3 linked regions of the Saccharomyces cerevisiae S288C genome follow. The protein of the gene in region 1 purifies or fractionates together with the protein of each later gene. This does not show direct contact. Each region holds a gene or a part of one and is shown on either strand. Other genes may lie near its edges.

Region 1 (9,692 bases):
ATTTGATTATCAATATCATTAATTTGTGGAAGATATTCCTTGTTCTCTACACTTTCCAAAACTTGTACATTTTTTTCATGCAGCTTCTTATTTTCTTCAGTTTGGGTAACCAAATCCTCCTTTTTCTTTTCCAGATTATCGATTTCGTTTTGAACTTTGCCTTGTTTCAAATTAATCTGGTTAATCTTAAAGATCTGAGCATCCAACTGTTGAGATAAGTTACTTAAGTTCGTGGTCCAGTCATTGAACTCCTTTTGGACATTCGTTTTCTCATTGTTCAAATCATCGATTTCTGACTTAACGTTGGTTTGTTTGTCCAAGACCTCATTTTTCTCCTGCAACTTTTGGTTTTTCATATTTTCAGTGTCTTTTAATATCATTAGTTTCTTATTATTATGCTCGGCATTAACATCAATGATTTTTTTGACCAACCGGTTTTTACTAACTTCAATTTTCTCAGAAGTTTCTTCTCTCATGGCCTTCATTGAATTTTCAATTTCGTCAATCTGATTTTGTAAATCTTGTAGCTTTTCTTTGTATTCTTTATTTTTAGCATCATATTTATCCTTTTCCTTTGCTCGAAGATCAGCTAACCATGCTTGATGAATTTTTTCATCATAATTGATTTTATCATAAACTGCCTTTGATAGGTAACCATGTTCTTTTGTCTTTACAATTAATTCAGGATTTTCTGGAGTGGCCACTGGATTGGATGGAGCGGCGGTCTTACTTTTTTGGGTAGATGAAGAAGTAGGGCTTTTCCATAAAGCGAAAATTCCGGTTCTTTCCTTTCGAGAAGGTTCCTGAAAAGGGACCTTGGGAGCCTTGCTTGGATCGATTGGGCTTTCATCTTCTTCGGATTCCGGTTCCGAGGTTTCTGGAGTAGACGTTCTCTCAGCAGATTCCTCTGCAGACGATTGTTCGGTTTCCTCTTCTGCATCCCCTTCCGCTTCCACTTCCTTTTTTTCTTCCCCACTGGGAGGATTGACTTTTTTTACATCGGATTTTTCCTCCTTTTGTTCGTCTGTTGGCACGACACCTGACTTTGAACCGCCACTTTGATCTGTAGTGCGTGGTTCCAACACCCCATTCTCGGATGAGATTGGTTCCGCTACATTAATTTGAGCTGAATCAGCAGTGCCTTTGCCAATTGAAGTAGACTCACTCACTTTGTCTTCATGTTCTTCCTCCACGGAAGTTGCTTCATCAGCACTATTTTCGACAGCATTAGTAGTAGAAGTGCTGGTAGTAGAAGTACTGGTGGTAGTGGTTGTCGTAGTTGCAGTGTCAGCAGTTGCTTCAGTGGCCTCAGATGTGGTAGTAGAAGTAACGTCCCCTTCATCTGATGAAGACGATGACGATGACGATGACGATGACGATGACGATGATGATGTAGAAGTGGACGAAGAAGTAGTAGTGTCAGTGTCATCTTTTTCATCCTTAGTTAAGTCAGTAATTTTCTGGCACTTCTTCAAATATTTCAAATGTTTCTCCTTTAGTTCCAACTCAGTTAGTAACTGATATTGTCTTTCTTCATTTTGAGTTAGGTAAGTTGGAAATCTAATATCTTTGGCTCTCTTAGCATTTTTTGGTATGTTTTTGTACCCTAAATCCTTAGGTTGCTGTTTTGAATAGGCAGAAGTAGCACTTACGGTAGGAAACTTTCTGTTTTTTGCGTCTTCCCCATATGCCCGGTTGTTTTGCCTATTGGCGAGGGCATCTTGTCTAAATGGCGAGACCCACTCTTCCTTACCTTTTGGCTCATTGGACACAACCTTTTGCAAAAACTGATAAGGGCTTTCCTGCTGATGCGCTTGCTGATTTTGCGTATTTGCCGAAGATTGATTGATCAATTGCGTAAAGGGGTCGTCTTCTTGACGGTTGATATTGAATAGCATGTTTTGAATACGTAGTTGATTGACCTCTTTCTTTTAATTGCGTGCAGCTGCTCTCAGGTTTAAGATGTACGAGGGTCCACGGGGTAGCAAGCACAAGAACGATGATATATATGACAGAACGATGGATAAGAATGGTATGTTGTCTGCACTGTTCAGCATTCGACTACCCCTCTCCCGGTTCTTTTCTCCTCGTTTCAATTTAAAAAAGCAACTCGCTACCCGGCCGCACACCCCTTATTCCTGTTCAGCCGTTTAAGGTGAGAACCCTTTACTTCATAGCCTTTGTAGATCTTTCTATTGCTACCATTGAAGGGTCGGTGACGTGGAAATTTTGACATTTATCAGTGGCGTATTGGGAGGCAAGCAATTGAAAGAACTGTGATTTATTTCCGCTTGTTCGAAATTATTGATGTTTAGCACTTTGCAGTAGCGACAATACAATATATGTGCTTTTAGTGCTGGGATAGTTCGTAGCTCCATTTCGGGGCGCTTGTTACATTTATTGTATATGCGCGGATGTGGCACATGCTGTTGAGATCTCACTCCTTTGGTATCTCTTTCCTGCGCCGCATTGTGCCGGCAGAATGTCGCGCTTGTATTCTCATGAACTTTTCCTCTTTACGAACCCTTTGGCGGCATGCCGTTTAAAATCTGTTGAAGATTTCCTTTACGAACAATGAGCAATGTTTTGCACAGGCAGGTGGGAAGTAGGGCCTATCGCGCCTTGGATGCAGATATAAGTATAAATATAAATTATAATAATTGGCTGTATCAGTAAATCCTTCTTGCGATGGGAGGAAGCACGATAGAGTATGTTAAGCTTTTGAGAGGCTTCATATTCATTGGAATTTTAAATAACAATAAAGCAACAACAATAATAAATGCTATCAGCTGCAGATAATTTAGTGCGCATCATAAATGCTGTTTTTCTTATTATATCCATAGGTCTAATCAGCGGCCTGATAGGTACACAGACAAAGCATAGTTCTCGAGTGAACTTTTGTATGTTTGCCGCCGTTTATGGTCTGGTTACGGATTCATTATATGGGTTTTTGGCTAATTTCTGGACATCATTAACATACCCAGCAATTTTGCTTGTTTTGGATTTTTTAAATTTCATATTTACGTTTGTAGCAGCCACCGCTTTGGCTGTAGGTATAAGATGCCATTCGTGTAAAAACAAAACATATCTGGAACAGAATAAGATCATACAAGGCTCAAGCTCCAGATGTCATCAATCTCAGGCTGCTGTTGCGTTTTTTTACTTTTCCTGTTTTCTATTCCTCATCAAAGTGACTGTGGCCACGATGGGTATGATGCAAAATGGTGGATTTGGCTCTAATACCGGATTCAGCAGAAGGAGGGCAAGAAGACAAATGGGCATACCTACAATTTCCCAGGTTTAAGCCTACTGGACTGAAAAAAAGGCAATTCGCGTACAATTTTCGTTGATCGTTCTTTATATAACCTTTGCATTAAATAAATTTAACAAAAAAAGTTCTTTCTAAAATAATATTATGGTGATACATGAATGTGCTTTAGTTTTTTCGTAGGCTCATCCATGTATATATATAAATGATAAAAAACTAAGTTACGATATTGATAGCATACGTATTCGTGTTGGTAACTAAATGGAAAGATGGAATATGTTATTGGCGTTGTTATCCCCCATATATACAGGTTTCTAATATGATTAAAAAAAAATTTTCTCCCCTAGTTTATTGTGTTCATAGCTTTTCCAGACTTAACGGCCAATGTTCAAAAGCAAGGAATTTGGTGATCCCGAAGACTCGCTGTTACCACCACCAGAATGTTGACTTGGTAAATAGACAACGTTAGATGAGTTTGCTAATGTTTGAGCGATGTCCTTAGAAGCTTCTAATCTTCTAATCAATAACAGACCATCACCAACTTTAGCTAAGGCTTTTGAAATGAATTCAGCACTTTCTGCTTCACCTTCAGCTCTGATAACAGAAGCTTGTCTCTCTTGCTCTGCCTTTTCGACAAGGAATTTGGCTCTTTCGGCATCTTGCTGTGCAATCTGCTTCTGCTCAACTGCTTTCGTGAATTCGGGACCAAACGTCATATGAGTGATAGAGACATCTTCCAACTTAATACCGAATTCGTTGGCCCTCGTAGAAAGCTCTTTTCTGATTTTTTGAGAAATAATTTCTCTCTGAGTAATTAACTCAGCAGCATCAAATTGAGCTACTATAGACTTTAAAACCTCATTGCCGATAGATGGTAACACTCTTTCGTCGTAATCGAGACCCAAATTTTGGTATATTGCGGGTAGCTGTAAGACCTCTGGTCTATGTAAGACTCTCAAGGTCAATGACACCATTTGCAAATCCTTCGTACCAGTATTGGTAGCAATGCTCTTTGGTTTCGTCCTCACATCGTATATGATCGCCTTCTGTAGCCAAGGCACCAAGAAATGAGTGCCTTCACCCACAACCTGTTGCTTTACACCATTGATTCTGTCGAAAATAACACCACGAGAACCACCCTTCACATCATACATGGAGTACTGAATCCCGCTAGCAATTATACCAATGGGCAACGCCACCTTGGTGATGACATCGATAAGTTTGGCAGAATTAGACATTCTTTTCTAAAGTAAATTATTGATTTTGAATGTAAGTTTCGTACCGTTGATGGTTGGTTTACCGATTTATTTTTTTTCCTCTTCTTTCTGCTTAATATTATATACCTCAACCGTTGCATCCATGAGATCGTCAAACTCCCTTTCCCTGAAATTTATTGATGCGATACATTCGCGTTACCCGTATCATCATGAAGACGAGTTTATTCTCATCAGTGTTGATCTCTCATACTTGAATAACTCATTTGCAATGGTCTAAGACTCCAACTATGTAGTCATAGTCATTCACTGAAGTTTCTCTTTTCGAAATCCTGAACGGAAGCGGAATATATGTGGTATATATCGCATATTACTGCTTCACAGCATGCAGCGCAGACTGGCCGGGTTATGCTGCCACTTACTGGAGACAACATAAAATATACATAATCATCGCCTTTATACATAATATGCCAAACTTCTGGATTCTTGAGAATCGTAGGAGCTATACGTCTGATACATGTATGTCGAGGATCGTGAAGGAGTACAAAGTCATACTGAAAACATTGGCCAGTGATGACCCCATAGCGAACCCCTACCGGGGGATAATCGAGTCACTTAACCCGATTGACGAAACCGACTTGAGCAAGTGGGAAGCTATAATTTCTGGGCCGTCAGACACACCTTATGAAAATCATCAGTTTCGAATACTAATAGAAGTCCCTAGTTCCTACCCCATGAATCCACCAAAGATAAGTTTTATGCAGAACAATATTTTGCACTGCAATGTTAAATCAGCCACAGGAGAAATATGTCTGAACATCCTTAAACCAGAGGAGTGGACTCCTGTATGGGATTTGTTACACTGTGTTCATGCTGTTTGGAGACTCCTAAGGGAACCCGTTTGTGATTCTCCACTTGACGTAGACATTGGTAATATCATCCGCTGTGGCGATATGAGTGCCTATCAGGGGATTGTAAAGTACTTCCTAGCAGAAAGAGAGCGGATCAACAACCATTGATACCACGTAGGATGGATGTGTTCGAATGGCAAACAATGGGCCCTCACTTTTATCTGATGCAATTTCTACCTTACCCGGGCAGCGCCAATTTATGAATACAAATACTTTAACAAATTGCACTATTGATGTATTGACACATTTGTATATACATATACATATATTAATAAGGAGCACGAATTTTTGACAAGTAGTGCACGCAATATCTACATTAGTTAGCTTTTCCATTGACGCTGAATTTTATTTTGGCAGCCCAGTAGATCGTTGAGGAGCTTTTTTCAAACACTTTTTCTCTCTTAACTCCACATACTTACGTAAGAAAGTGATGACGAAAAAGAAAGCAGCTACTAATTATGCTGAAAGGCAAAATTTAGCCAGTGAAGATTCTTCAGGTGATTCGGTTCATTTTAAGGACTTTATTCCCTTACAAGAGTTACTGAAAGATAAAAATTATGTTCCATCGGTGGAAAATTTGGAGAAGATCTTATATAATGAAACCATGTTTAATGATCAGAAAATATGCTCTAACCTATTGCTTGAGGCTCTCATAATTACGTTGTTCACAACAATTTCAGGGAAGTCAGCTTTACGATTAATTCAGACTTCTTCTTTGAAGGAAAGAAAATCCTGGGCCCAGTCCTTTGAAAATAACAGTTCTAGCTATGCTTCCATAGTACTGAGTTGGAAAGATAATGATATATTACTCCTGAAATTCTTAAGGTTTTTATTAGCAAATAAAACGGCCCCTCTTCAAATTAATCGGTACAATCTTCCAGAATACAAACTCCCGTTGAGCTTTTTAATTGTTTCAAAAATTACTATTCCGTCCATATTACTCAATGAAACGTATAATTTGTTAAAGGACTATTTGTATTCGATAACTGGCCGTATAGAGAGTTTGATAAGCTGCAGCTCCACATTTGATAAGCCAGCACTTGTCGTTAGAAAAATTTTAAAAGATTACAATAGAATGATAGAATGCCGAAATTTTTATTTCTGGTATTCCTTTAATGCTGAGAACAGAGTAAATCTTACTTTTAGTGATAACATTAGCCTGTTAATGGAAAATGATGAAGGCAATGCTGGAAGTGGCCTTGACGATAGCCGTTTTGATCATCAAAAACAACCGAGAGAGGCGATAATGGGCCGAACAATAAATGACCAGGAACAAATATATTCATTCGAACTGAACCAAGATGGAACGCTTGAAATACCCAACGTTATGGAGCATTCTTTACTAAGACACGAGCTTCTTTTTAAAATATTAAATCTCACTACGGTATTGACGCCATTATTGGAACTACAATTTTCTACGCTATGTGGCTTAGTAGATCCATTAATGCAGCCTACTCCCAATGATAAGCATATTATATCGATAGACTTTCTTTTTCAGCTTTTTTTGGGATTAATGTCTCAGTCGATCAAGACTTCTCAAGAACACAACGACCATTATGACTGGAAATTTTATATGTGTTTTAACATGCAAAAAATTATTGATGCTACCATGTTGAGGCTCAACTGCTTTGATTTTGATATATTAAACTCGGTAAACAATACAGATAATGCAGTTCATTGGAAGACGCAACTTCACAGATGGCTACCGCATGGCCTGAATACACAAGACTTGGAATTACTCTATATGATTGATATACTGGCGGTATATACCATCTACAAGTTGTATGAAAAAATACCTATACAACTAAACCCATTTTTATTTTCATTAATATCCTTATGGAAAAACCTCTCCTGTGTTATACTTTTAGCCTTAGAAATTGATAGAATTGAAGAGGAGAATGGCACTTACGAAACGCCGCTTATGGTTCGCGCCACAATTCGTGGAGCCGCAGCATTGAGGTCTGTAATAGCTACCGTTCTCAATGGATTAGTGAAAAATAATGATCATGATTTCAAGCACGAGTCTTTAAACACATTCATGTCGCCCTATGGAAGAAAATTGTGTCATGGTGCTTTATATGCCGATTTAAGGTCACATACTGCATCTCTACTTGCGCTTGGAGCAAGCATCGAAGATGTAACAGATTTATTTGCCGATTTACAGTCAGGTGATAGATTTGATGAGGATATTAGATATATGTTTGATTATGAATGTGAAGATTATGATGAATCTTTCTCTGAAAGCGATCATGGAGGATTGGATGAAAGCGTTGTTAACCCAACAGAAAAAATAGCATCTGGTAGTAATAATGTTTTCTTTCGGAGACGGTGCAATTGCATCTTCAATGATGATAAGTTGGTGGCAGAGGATGGTGCAAATGAAGCCTTTGGGTCAACAAATAGCGAAAACGTTGAAGGCGCAATGCATAATAATAGGAATGCGGTACATAACGCGACTACAGCCACTTCTGATCACGTCGTTACGTCACCTAACCCACTTTCCGTTAGATCAAGAAGTACTTTTGAATTTGACTATAGTGGGGAAGATTGGAGGGACGTTCCCAGAGATTTCAATATGTACTATTCGCCATCTTATTCATTCATCCATGAGCCTAAGTTAGATGTCATATTTAGTTTGACTCTACGTGGCGCAACAGAAAAGTTGAATAAGGAGGAATCCATATTGTTAGTGCGTTCAGTTGCATCGTGTGTAAGGAACGAGCAGGACCAAATGATTTTAGCAGACCTGGAGTCTAATTTTTCCGCAAGTATAAACGGCGATGTAGAAGGTGAAGGAAATACCAAAATGTCCAAGATAGATAATGAAGATCTCAGAAGAACCACGCCGGATGATATTTATGAAATATGGTCTGAAGAATCAGCATTTGAAAGGATGCTAAACGTGAATCACGACGTTGCGTGGAGATTAATGGATGAAATGTTAATGTGCACCGGTTATAGGAGAATATTGATATGGTTCCTTACGCATTTGGAGTTAAAACATTCGTTGATATATTACGTTTTTGAACTAATAATGGGGTTACGTGGAAAACCGTTTTCCGGAGAAGCCAGTGATCAAGATAAAAAGGATGATATGATATATGAGATCTTGAAGAAAAAGCAGAAGAATGAAGATGCTTCAGGACTTCCCTTTTCAAGGCAAGGACCTATCGTATTATCTGATATTGAGACTAAAATGTTACTGCAGGAGTTTTTTATGAATGCTGCTATTTTTTTGTCATCAAAAAATAACGAAGAAGAGAATGAAGACGGCGAGAAAATCTCCTTGTACTCCCTTGGTTTGGTTAGGTTGATCTGTTACATGGTGCAGACACTCATCGCGAACGACAAGTTTTTTTTTACCAAATCAGAATGCACTTTTGAGCTTCAAACTTTACTGATGACATGGATTGGCATCCTTCCTGAAGCCAAAGATTTATTCTTTAAGATCAAGACAAGGCTCGCCATGGAAGAAGAGGATAGTGCCGATACTATGCAGCATGAGGGCAGGAAGAACTCTGACATAGAGAAGAAGCTAAACGCTAAGCCAGCTTCTGAACTGAATCTGAAATTGTTAAACCTGTTTCCCTCAAAGCCTGCAAACAAAGACGATAGTTCCCCTATTAACACGTTGCGTAGTTTTATCGCTGATTACTCCTTCGACACCCAGGTGAACCCTCCAGGAAGAAGGGTGGTGTTCTACGATGGTAAGATTTTGCCATTGCCCAAAGCCGATAAGCCTATCCCACTTCATGAATATATAACACTCGCAGAGCTCGATGTTGGAGACAGTGAGTGAGCAGTGAATTGCTCATGTTTTCTCTGCATCCTCATTTAATGACAATTAGCCATGTAATAACATCTTGAGGCAGTTAAATATTCGTTACCCTGCAGGTGGCAAAAAATTTATAGAATAAAAGCATAAAAAGATGGATATCTATGTAATAAGGAAACATTGGCAGAGCGAAGAGAACAGACTGCTTTCTATAAAAAGTTTTCGATCAGTCTCTATTTTAATAATTGATTATTGGATATAGTTAGTAGTGTTAAACATGGGTTCCAGAAGATACGATTCCAGGACAACAATTTTCTCCCCTGAGGGACGTCTATATCAGGTTGAATACGCGCTAGAATCCATTTCACATGCAGGTACCGCAATTGGGATTATGGCATCTGATGGGATTGTTCTTGCAGCAGAACGCAAAGTCACAAGTACTTTACTAGAACAAGACACCTCTACCGAAAAACTTTATAAGTTAAACGATAAAATTGCGGTTGCCGTTGCTGGACTGACTGCAG
Region 2 (4,952 bases), on another chromosome or scaffold:
CCTCTGAATGCGTATCGGCCAGTGCAGGCTCTGGCACCGCAAGGATTGGCTTCTTGATGGTATCAGTGTCCGCACTAGTACTCATTTTTGCAATCTGGTATGCTTTCTTGCGTTTGATGATAAGCTGTCGCCGTAACGTAAATCATTCATCCTTTCCTATGATTTTTTAAGTCAATTTTTTTTTCTTTTTCGGGAAATTAATTCTGTTTTTGGCATTAATAACAACAAGAAGAATTAAGGATTCGTTATAGAATACAAGATTCTTGGTTTGGTTAAATAATTTTGGCTCTCTTAAATATTATAAAAAGATACTTAAGTAAGAAAGAAACAGGACGAAAAAGATACGCAAAAGAGAGAGAGAGAGAGAGAGAAAAAAAAGATGAGAAAAAAAAGTATAACGTGAAGGCTTTATGGGAAGTGCGGTGAGATTGGGATCGTTTCAATTTTATAATGAGGTAGTGTACAGAGAGGAGGGAGGGAGTGGGATGAAAGTGTGCGGTTTATACTTTCTTACTGCCTGTGTTTGTCTTCATAAATTCAAATCTTGCTAACAATGGTATATGGTCACTGGGGAATTTGTCGTTGGGGAACCCGATAAACTTACTCACGTATTCAGGGTCCACTTCACCCAATAGCCCACGCACCCTTAGAGCATGTGTAGAAAACCATATATAGTCGATAACATCTGTGAATGACGGTGTGAAATTGGTGAATGGTAGTTCTCCGATACAATTATAACTTGATTTGAGAGCCAAGTTATGTGAGAAATTTTTCTCCGACATGTAACCGAAATCTCTACCATTTCCCTCTTGATGTATTTGGACACGGCCTGTATTTATCAATTCGTATACGGCGGAGTTGATGTATGAATTGAAGTCACCACAAATGAGCACAGGAAATTTCTTAATGTCCTGTCTAAAATTGTGCGATGTCTCCTCCTTTAGCAGCGTTTCCAGATGATCTAACAGGACACCTACTTGGAATGTCTTGACATCATTAAATTTTGGATCCCAGTGCAAATGCGTGGTGACCGCCCATATGGTGTCGCCACTAGGAATGTGTTGTAGCTTTAAGAACAGTGCAACGTTGTCTTTGTTCATTGCACGGTTTAAATAATCTTCAGTTCTTTGGAACTTCTTGTGTTTCATCCAAGCACCGCTGAAATCCATGGCGTCTTTGGTGATCAACTTGAATTGGTCCCTTTTGAAAAAAATGCAACACCCGTCCACTTTCTTGGAGTCCTTGGAATGCATGGTCTTGGCTCTTGCCTTTGCATGGAAGATGCCTGTATAACCGTGCTTGTCCAATAGGGGCACCCAATACTCTTCAAAAGTCTTAGACTCCACTTCTTGTAAACACAACAGATCACTGTCGTACGAGAGAATCTGCTCCTTTAATTTATTGCGCCTGTAATCCCAACTTAACGCCCACGACGGTGTGTAACGGTACATTTTTGGGGTGGCATAGTGTTGACATAAGGTGTTGTAGGATAAGACGGTGAACGTCCTCTTGGCTAAATCGGTGGCCAGATGCTCAGTGGATTGCTGCAAAGAATCGTACTCCCTCTGTGGTTCCCCATCGGTATTGATTTCGATGAACCTACGTTCATGCGGTAAGGGAATCTCTGGTCTGTTGTCCCTTAGGTAGAAAATCAATCCCGTGACAGATTTTTCTGTAAGGATCTTTAAAAACTGTTTTTCTAAGGGGTTTCCTTCTACACCAAGAAACTGAAGGTTACACAGGTTCCCAAACTCCCATGGTAATGTGGTGACCATGTTATCAAAAAAGTAGAAGTATTTCAATTGGAAACATGAGCCTAGTTCCGCTGGTAGAGATGTTAACCTATTATGCGACAGGTCCAAAACGCGTAGGTTGCTTAGGTTCTTGATCTCCGCTGGCAGTTCCGTGAGGCTATTGCCATTCAAATATAGTCTCGTTAGAAAATCGTACTTGAAGATGTTGGCGCTGATATTGAAGATTTGCAAGTTGGACAAATCTAGCGCGTGCCATAATTGGTCGTCGTATTTCGAGTCCTTGGGCATGACCATTCTGTTTTCAATGTCGTCATCTTCGTCGATGCTGTACTGAGACAGTTTCTTGTGTTGTAAGAGCGCCTGGTTGGCTTCGTCCTTGCCATTAGCAAACAGCTCTATCTTGGGAGTCAATGGTGTAGAAACTGCACTGTTAGTTGCCGTGCCTGAGGGAGTGCTATCTCCCGTAGGTTGTTGTTTCTTTGCTGTCTTGCTGTCGGTGAGAGTGTCGGCCATTTCCATCAAGGCTTGCTTTGTGCAGTCTACCAGTGATTTGGAGGCTTCTGCAATGTGAGATTGCTGGAAATCGGTGGGCTGCAAAGCTGGTGGTGCAGCCTGAGGTCCGGGGCCAAATGGGCCCGGGACCTGCTGCTGTGCCTGTTGCTGCGCTTGTTGCTGAGCTTGCTGAGCCTGTTGTGTAGCCAAATACTTCTTCATAGCGTTTTGTCTAGCATAAATGTTGGGTTGCCCCAGAGATTGTGCGGACACTGCAGCCAGATGCAATTGAAGCTTCCAGATCGGATTGTTTAGTAAAGAAGGGTCATCCAAGTGCGGGTGTAATAAAGGGTTACTGGCGTTCACATTGATGTTCACAGGCGTACCAACGGTAGGAACCATCCCTATAGAATTTACTGCGGCTGTGGAGGCATTCATCATCACCCCGCTTCCACCGCCGTTGTTGTTGTTGTTGTTGTTGTTGTTATTGTTGTTATTGTTGTTATCCATGTTCATATTGAGCATGTTCGCGTTCCCATTAGCCAATTGGTCGAGCAACTGGCGCGAGTTGTTGTTGCTGGAAGTGTGTACATCGCTGTTGTTCATGAGTCCCGGTGGAGGTATCCCGGTGAGCTGGTTCATGTGTAGCTGCTGCTGTAGAGCGTTTGGTGTACCCTTTCCTAGTAGCCCGGCATGCTGCTGTTGCTGCTGTTGCTGTTGCTGCTGCGGGCCCACATTAGGGTAGCCTAGTAAAGAAGGGTCGTTCATTAGCGGTAGTTTGCAGGGATAACGTCAGTCGGAGTTCCCTTGCTGGTGTCCCTTATGCTGTGCCCTTGTGCTTGAGAACCTTCTCTAAGGTGGAAACTTTTTCAAATTTTTTCGTTGTTGGCCCGTTTTTCGCAAGTACGGGCGATAACAAAAGGCCTAAACGGCTACTTTACCTTTGAGATCTACCACGATGAGAATTAATGCTGAATGGACATCTATGTATATGATAGTGGGTATATAGTTACTTATCAGTGCTAGAGCACGATCCACGTGGTGGCACATCCGCCAAACACGCGAGGTTTTCCAGAGTATTGGCCCACGAGCTGCAGTCCAGGCTGGGAGCCCTTTTGCGGGCCGCAGTTGCCATGCTCTCCCCAGCCCCAGCAGTATACATTGTAACAGTGAGACTTGCCTTCTTGATTAGCAGTAGTTAGAATACCGTGCTCACTCCCGGTTGCAACACCGACAATAGGGAAGTCTAGGCGCTCTTGCGGGAAGAGTTGGGAATGTGTGCCCCTACCAAACGACTCTACCGTATTGAGGCGCGCATTCCACAGGTGGATCGAGGTCCACATGCACAGTACCACTAGATTGTGTCTTTTTTGCTGTTGTTTGAGCTCGAACCCAGTGGGCAGGCGACCGGATGCGTGCACTATGCGGCCGCCCTCGTCCACTATGACCATGAAGTCCTTGCCCATGGCCACGTAGTCTACGGCCACAGACCCGGTATCGTACACCAATACGGGCTCTTTCAGTGATCGGGATTTGGGCTCTTGCAATTGACACTTTGTGTTGCTGCCCCAGCCGTATACTCGGGTGCCTTGCACCACCACAAAGTTCTGGAAACATCCGTATACTGCGATGCGCTCATCGTTGGAATTCAATGGCACATGTTGCTGAGTGAACTCGTAGCAACCGCCTCCTCTCTGCCATACACGGCCATCAGCATCCACAATAACTGTCGTGTCCCAGCCGCACGCCACATCCACCACGGGTGCCGGTACTTCCACGGGCCTCCAGTCATGCACCTGCCGCAGTGCTTGCGCACTATCCAGTTCTCCCCGTCTGTTATCTCCACATCCTACCAGATTCCCGTCATTTGTCAGCATCACGCTGTGGTTCCCACCGCACGCTATCTTCCTGACTATTGCTCCATCATCTCCTGGCACAGACCTCTGTGGGGTATCCATATCCTCATCGTGCCCCAGTCCCAGTTGCCTTTGCCCATTAGACCCAAACGCATACACACAACTCATCGATACAAGCCTGTTATAGCCTTTAATGATCACATTCCATCACTTGCGCTTTGGATCTGCCTGCATTATCAAGGCTCAAACGGCTGCGTTACCCCCGTCGCCGCGAAATTTTTCATAATTTTTCACTTTGTAGGATTAAAAGAGATCATGAGCCCATCTCGCAATGCAACACGTAACTTAAATCAGTACTGGCGTGTGCTATAGTGCTCTATATTCGAGTTTGTTGCTACTGGTGGACACCCGACTATCTACAGTAAGGAACGTAAACAAGAAAAAGAGAGAAAATACGCTATAGTTGAAAACATGAGTGGTTCGCATTCAAATGATGAGGATGACGTAGTGCAAGTGCCCGAGACGTCCTCTCCCACCAAGGTAGCATCGTCGTCTCCCTTAAAGCCTACTTCGCCAACAGTTCCGGATGCAAGTGTGGCGTCTTTGAGAAGCAGGTTTACTTTCAAGCCTTCAGATCCCAGCGAAGGAGCTCATACTTCGAAGCCGCTCCCATCTGGGAGTCCTGAGGTAGCACTGGTTAACCTTGCGAGAGAGTTCCCCGATTTCTCTCAAACTCTGGTGCAGGCTGTTTTCAAATCTAACTCTTTTAACTTACAGTCTGCCAGGGAACGTCTTACAAGATTGAGGCAGCAAAGACAAAATTGGACATGGAACAAGAACGCATCTCCCA
Region 3 (3,272 bases), on another chromosome or scaffold:
TATTATACGTCGTTCTGTAATGTTTGCGGGCTCACCTGGATGAAGCTAAGAACAAAAAAACGGGTTTAGCAGAATAACTGAAGAAGTACGTTGGTAATGAGCACACACAATTCCTCCCTTGCACTTATTTGTAAAGAATTGTGTTCTCAACAATGCAACTCGTATCCAAAAAAACGCCTATGTATATTTCATTGATCTTGACGAAACCTTTAGATTTCGAAAAAAATAGAATCGTGGTTCGTGGCGTCGTAGTGAATGACACAAGGGGTACATTCCGGGTGATAGGATGAAAAATGGGTAATAGTAATAGTACAGAAGAACCTTCTGGCACTTAACTTAAACCATTCTGAAATATGAGTGGACTTTATACATTTCATGCATATAAATATAACTATACAAAATTAGGAGAGGTGAGGAAGTGAAACTAAAACAAAAAGGCAAGGTTAAAACAATACAGGAAAATAGAAAGAGAAAAACAGTAATATATCTATGGGGATGCATCATGAGGTTTCTTCGTTTAATGTCAGTAGCAATTGTGCCAGACATCTCTTGGACCCGACGTCGTCTCTTAGTACTTCCGTAAAAGTGTTATCTCTCAGTTTGGCAGGTAAGACTATTTTCAATAGCCTGCGTGCTTCGAGATCGTCGCTTAATCTTAAGTAGCATCTAATGATATGTTTCAGTAGTCGTCCCGGTGGTGTGCTCACGGTCAAGTGCTCAACCATATCTTTTAAGACATTAGTTACGGCGTAGAACCTTTCCAAGGTGGCACAGATGTATTGCAATCCAACGTCATCTAGTAGGATTTTCTGTAAAATGAAAATGGCGACTGTCTTGGAAAGCTCAGAAGAAGATTCCATGATCCTTAGGCATAACGGCACGATATCGGTTCTTAGCAAAAACGTTATTACGTCTTGTGAGTCATTTTTGACCAATGCGCCTATCACACCTAATGAAGTCAATCTCAAGTACTCAAAAGTTCTTTGCCTGGAGGTAGTATTTAGGAAGGGGAAAAGAAAGAGAGGAATATGGGCCTGTAAAAAGAGATGTTTTGTCTCTGGGTGAGATGCAACACACTGTAGAAGAACTAGAGCGTTGCATACACGATTTGATAGATTGTTAGAGAGCATCTGAGGTTGCAGCATGGGATATACGGAAATGATTTCGTTCAGCAATGAGGTCATTACACCAAAGGAAGACCAAAGCACAACGGCAAGGTCATCAAACTGTTCTCTTTTGCGACCTAATTCAAGCAGTGCTTGTTCCTTTTGAGGGCCGTAGGTCAATTGACAAATCCAGTGGTATACATTGGGATCATCTAGAGCATGCACTGCGCCTCTATTATTGACCATGTTGGGATTGTTTCGAGTTGCGTTAGCATCGTTACCGCCGTTATTGCCGTTATTGCCGTTGTTCTCGCCATTTTCATTGCTATTATTATTATTCGGAGTATTGCCCATTAGCATGGGGCCTCCACTTGGAATTTGTTGATTCATGCCTGGACCCATTGAAGTTGGAACCCCAGGCATGGACATAGATCCTGGATTATTAGTTGAAGGACCACCACCACCCATGTTCACGCCTGCTCCATTGCCATATATTGGCTTTTGAGCGGAAAACATATTAACTTATTCAGAGGATGTTCAGTTGCTGTCGTTGTTGCTTCAGGAACAAAGTTTAATCTCGTCAAGATCAGCAGAAACACACACACTCGCAAATTTGTCAAAACTTGGGAGTTTTAAAAGATGAACGGTTTCTAACTTGCGTACTCTACGTCTTTGCAATCCCTTTACAATGTCTTCTATGCGTAAATTACTTTAAATTTGGATTTTGCCTCTTGCTGCTCGCAGCAAAATTCTCAGCATGTTGAGGTGTGTGGGTGGAGTTTTTCCTCTCCTGCTAGTAATACTTATGCAAGAATCTACGTCTAATGAGGTGCTCACGTTTTGCAATGATGATATAAATAGGGACAGTAATCTAATATAGACAAGTGGGCGTAATAGGGTTTTCTTCTCTCTCTTATGCATTCTGTAAGCATCTCGCTTTATGTGAGGAATAGTAGTAAAAGCGTATGATACAGGGAAATAGTAGTACTTTTACAATAGTATTGCTACTTGCATTCCCAAAAACATTCAATAAATGCACTTGGTTTCGAGCGTCTTTTGTTTATTTTTAAGTTTTGTTTGTTTTTTTTATTGTTTTGCTTCGTAGTTTCAATTTTAAACATTAATGTGTGCAAAAACTATAAGACAATGGTATACGCAAGAAAAACTATAAGTAGCATATTTAGTCTACTCCGAGCCATATCGGAAAGAACAATGTCGCGTCTTGCAAAGGCTGTTAATACATAGAATAGGCCACTCCAGGCATGTAAATACATGATTGATTGGATGAGCAACACTGAAATGGACCAGTGGCAACCTAACAGGATTTCTGATCTATTTCACGCCCAGAAAAAAGGCGTACATTCTATAATCTACTTAACAGACCTATACAAGCACTGTCCTACATATTTCAAAAGATTTAATTTACATATCGATTCCGTTCAACGTAAACAGTTTGCTCATAATACAGTCACAGATGTGAGAGAAAAAAAAAAAAGAAAATAAAGGAAAATGGATCAGAAATTTGGGTATACTTAATGCTTCATAGGACACCTGAGTACTTGTGGCATCCATGTTCAGACTGGTGCACAGCTTTTTTCTCGTCATTTACCATTTTTCCTTGAATTCATGTTTAATTTTCATCTTCGTCATGTGTTAAGGTACTATTACGAAACAAAATGTTAACGCCTTTGATAAACTTATCAAAGTTACGAGACCGGTTCGCACTACGATACTTTGCTATTGCTTCATTTTTTCTATCATATGTAAAACATAAACCACTGAGAGAAAACTTCTGCATTTAAATCAAATATGTCCGCCTTTTATACTTTAAGAAGAAAAAATTTATCTTTTTTCTTCCTCATATTGCAGGTATCACCCGAATGGAAGTTATAACGGCACAATCACTTAGGGCTTAACATACAATAACAAATACCATTTTTAATGTTGTGTTCAGTTGATTGTTATTATTATTAGGTATCCTTGATTATTTAAATTTATAATATATTATGTATCCGTTAATTATGCTCTATTAAAAATCTTTCTCCCACTAAGAGCCCCGTAAGGGCCATCTTGTTTACCACATTAAAACCCATGTTGACTCATGATCTGTTCCAGATCCCAACTTTGCCTGTTGACATTGTCGTTCCATTTCTCTACCGTCCTGAC

The links. Proteins that work in one complex are often made in the same cells at the same time.
Region 2: the proteins of CAF130 (region 1) and CCR4 purify together in Saccharomyces cerevisiae (affinity purification with mass spectrometry; 6 studies listed by BioGRID, with this or other methods). This does not show direct contact.
Region 3: the proteins of CAF130 (region 1) and CAF40 purify together in Saccharomyces cerevisiae (affinity purification with mass spectrometry; 8 studies listed by BioGRID, with this or other methods). This does not show direct contact.

What each region holds. Positions count from the first base shown.
Region 1 is NC_001139.9:751,947-761,638, forward strand, and holds CAF130 (CCR4-NOT core subunit CAF130), read left to right. Parts: upstream 1-5,823; coding exon 5,824-9,192; downstream 9,193-9,692. Other genes in the region: YGR130C (uncharacterized protein), read right to left, coding at 1-1,898; FHN1 (Fhn1p), read left to right, coding at 2,780-3,304; prohibitin subunit PHB1, read right to left, coding at 3,643-4,506; PEX4 (E2 ubiquitin-protein ligase peroxin 4), read left to right, coding at 4,950-5,501; PRE9 (proteasome core particle subunit alpha 3), read left to right, coding at 9,446-9,692. UniProt on the Saccharomyces cerevisiae protein: Acts as a component of the CCR4-NOT core complex, which in the nucleus seems to be a general transcription factor, and in the cytoplasm the major mRNA deadenylase involved in mRNA turnover.
Region 2 is NC_001133.9:110,346-115,297, forward strand, and holds CCR4 (CCR4-NOT core exoribonuclease subunit CCR4), read right to left. Parts: upstream 3,015-4,952; coding exon 501-3,014; downstream 1-500. Other genes in the region: nucleoside transmembrane transporter FUN26, read right to left, coding at 1-85; ATS1 (Ats1p), read right to left, coding at 3,269-4,270; DNA-dependent ATPase FUN30, read left to right, coding at 4,574-4,952. UniProt on the Saccharomyces cerevisiae protein: Acts as a catalytic component of the CCR4-NOT core complex, which in the nucleus seems to be a general transcription factor, and in the cytoplasm the major mRNA deadenylase involved in mRNA turnover.
Region 3 is NC_001146.8:88,653-91,924, reverse strand, and holds CAF40 (CCR4-NOT core subunit CAF40), read right to left. Parts: upstream 1,623-3,272; coding exon 501-1,622; downstream 1-500. Other genes in the region: PCL1 (Pcl1p), read right to left, coding at 3,189-3,272. UniProt on the Saccharomyces cerevisiae protein: Acts as a component of the CCR4-NOT core complex, which in the nucleus seems to be a general transcription factor, and in the cytoplasm the major mRNA deadenylase involved in mRNA turnover.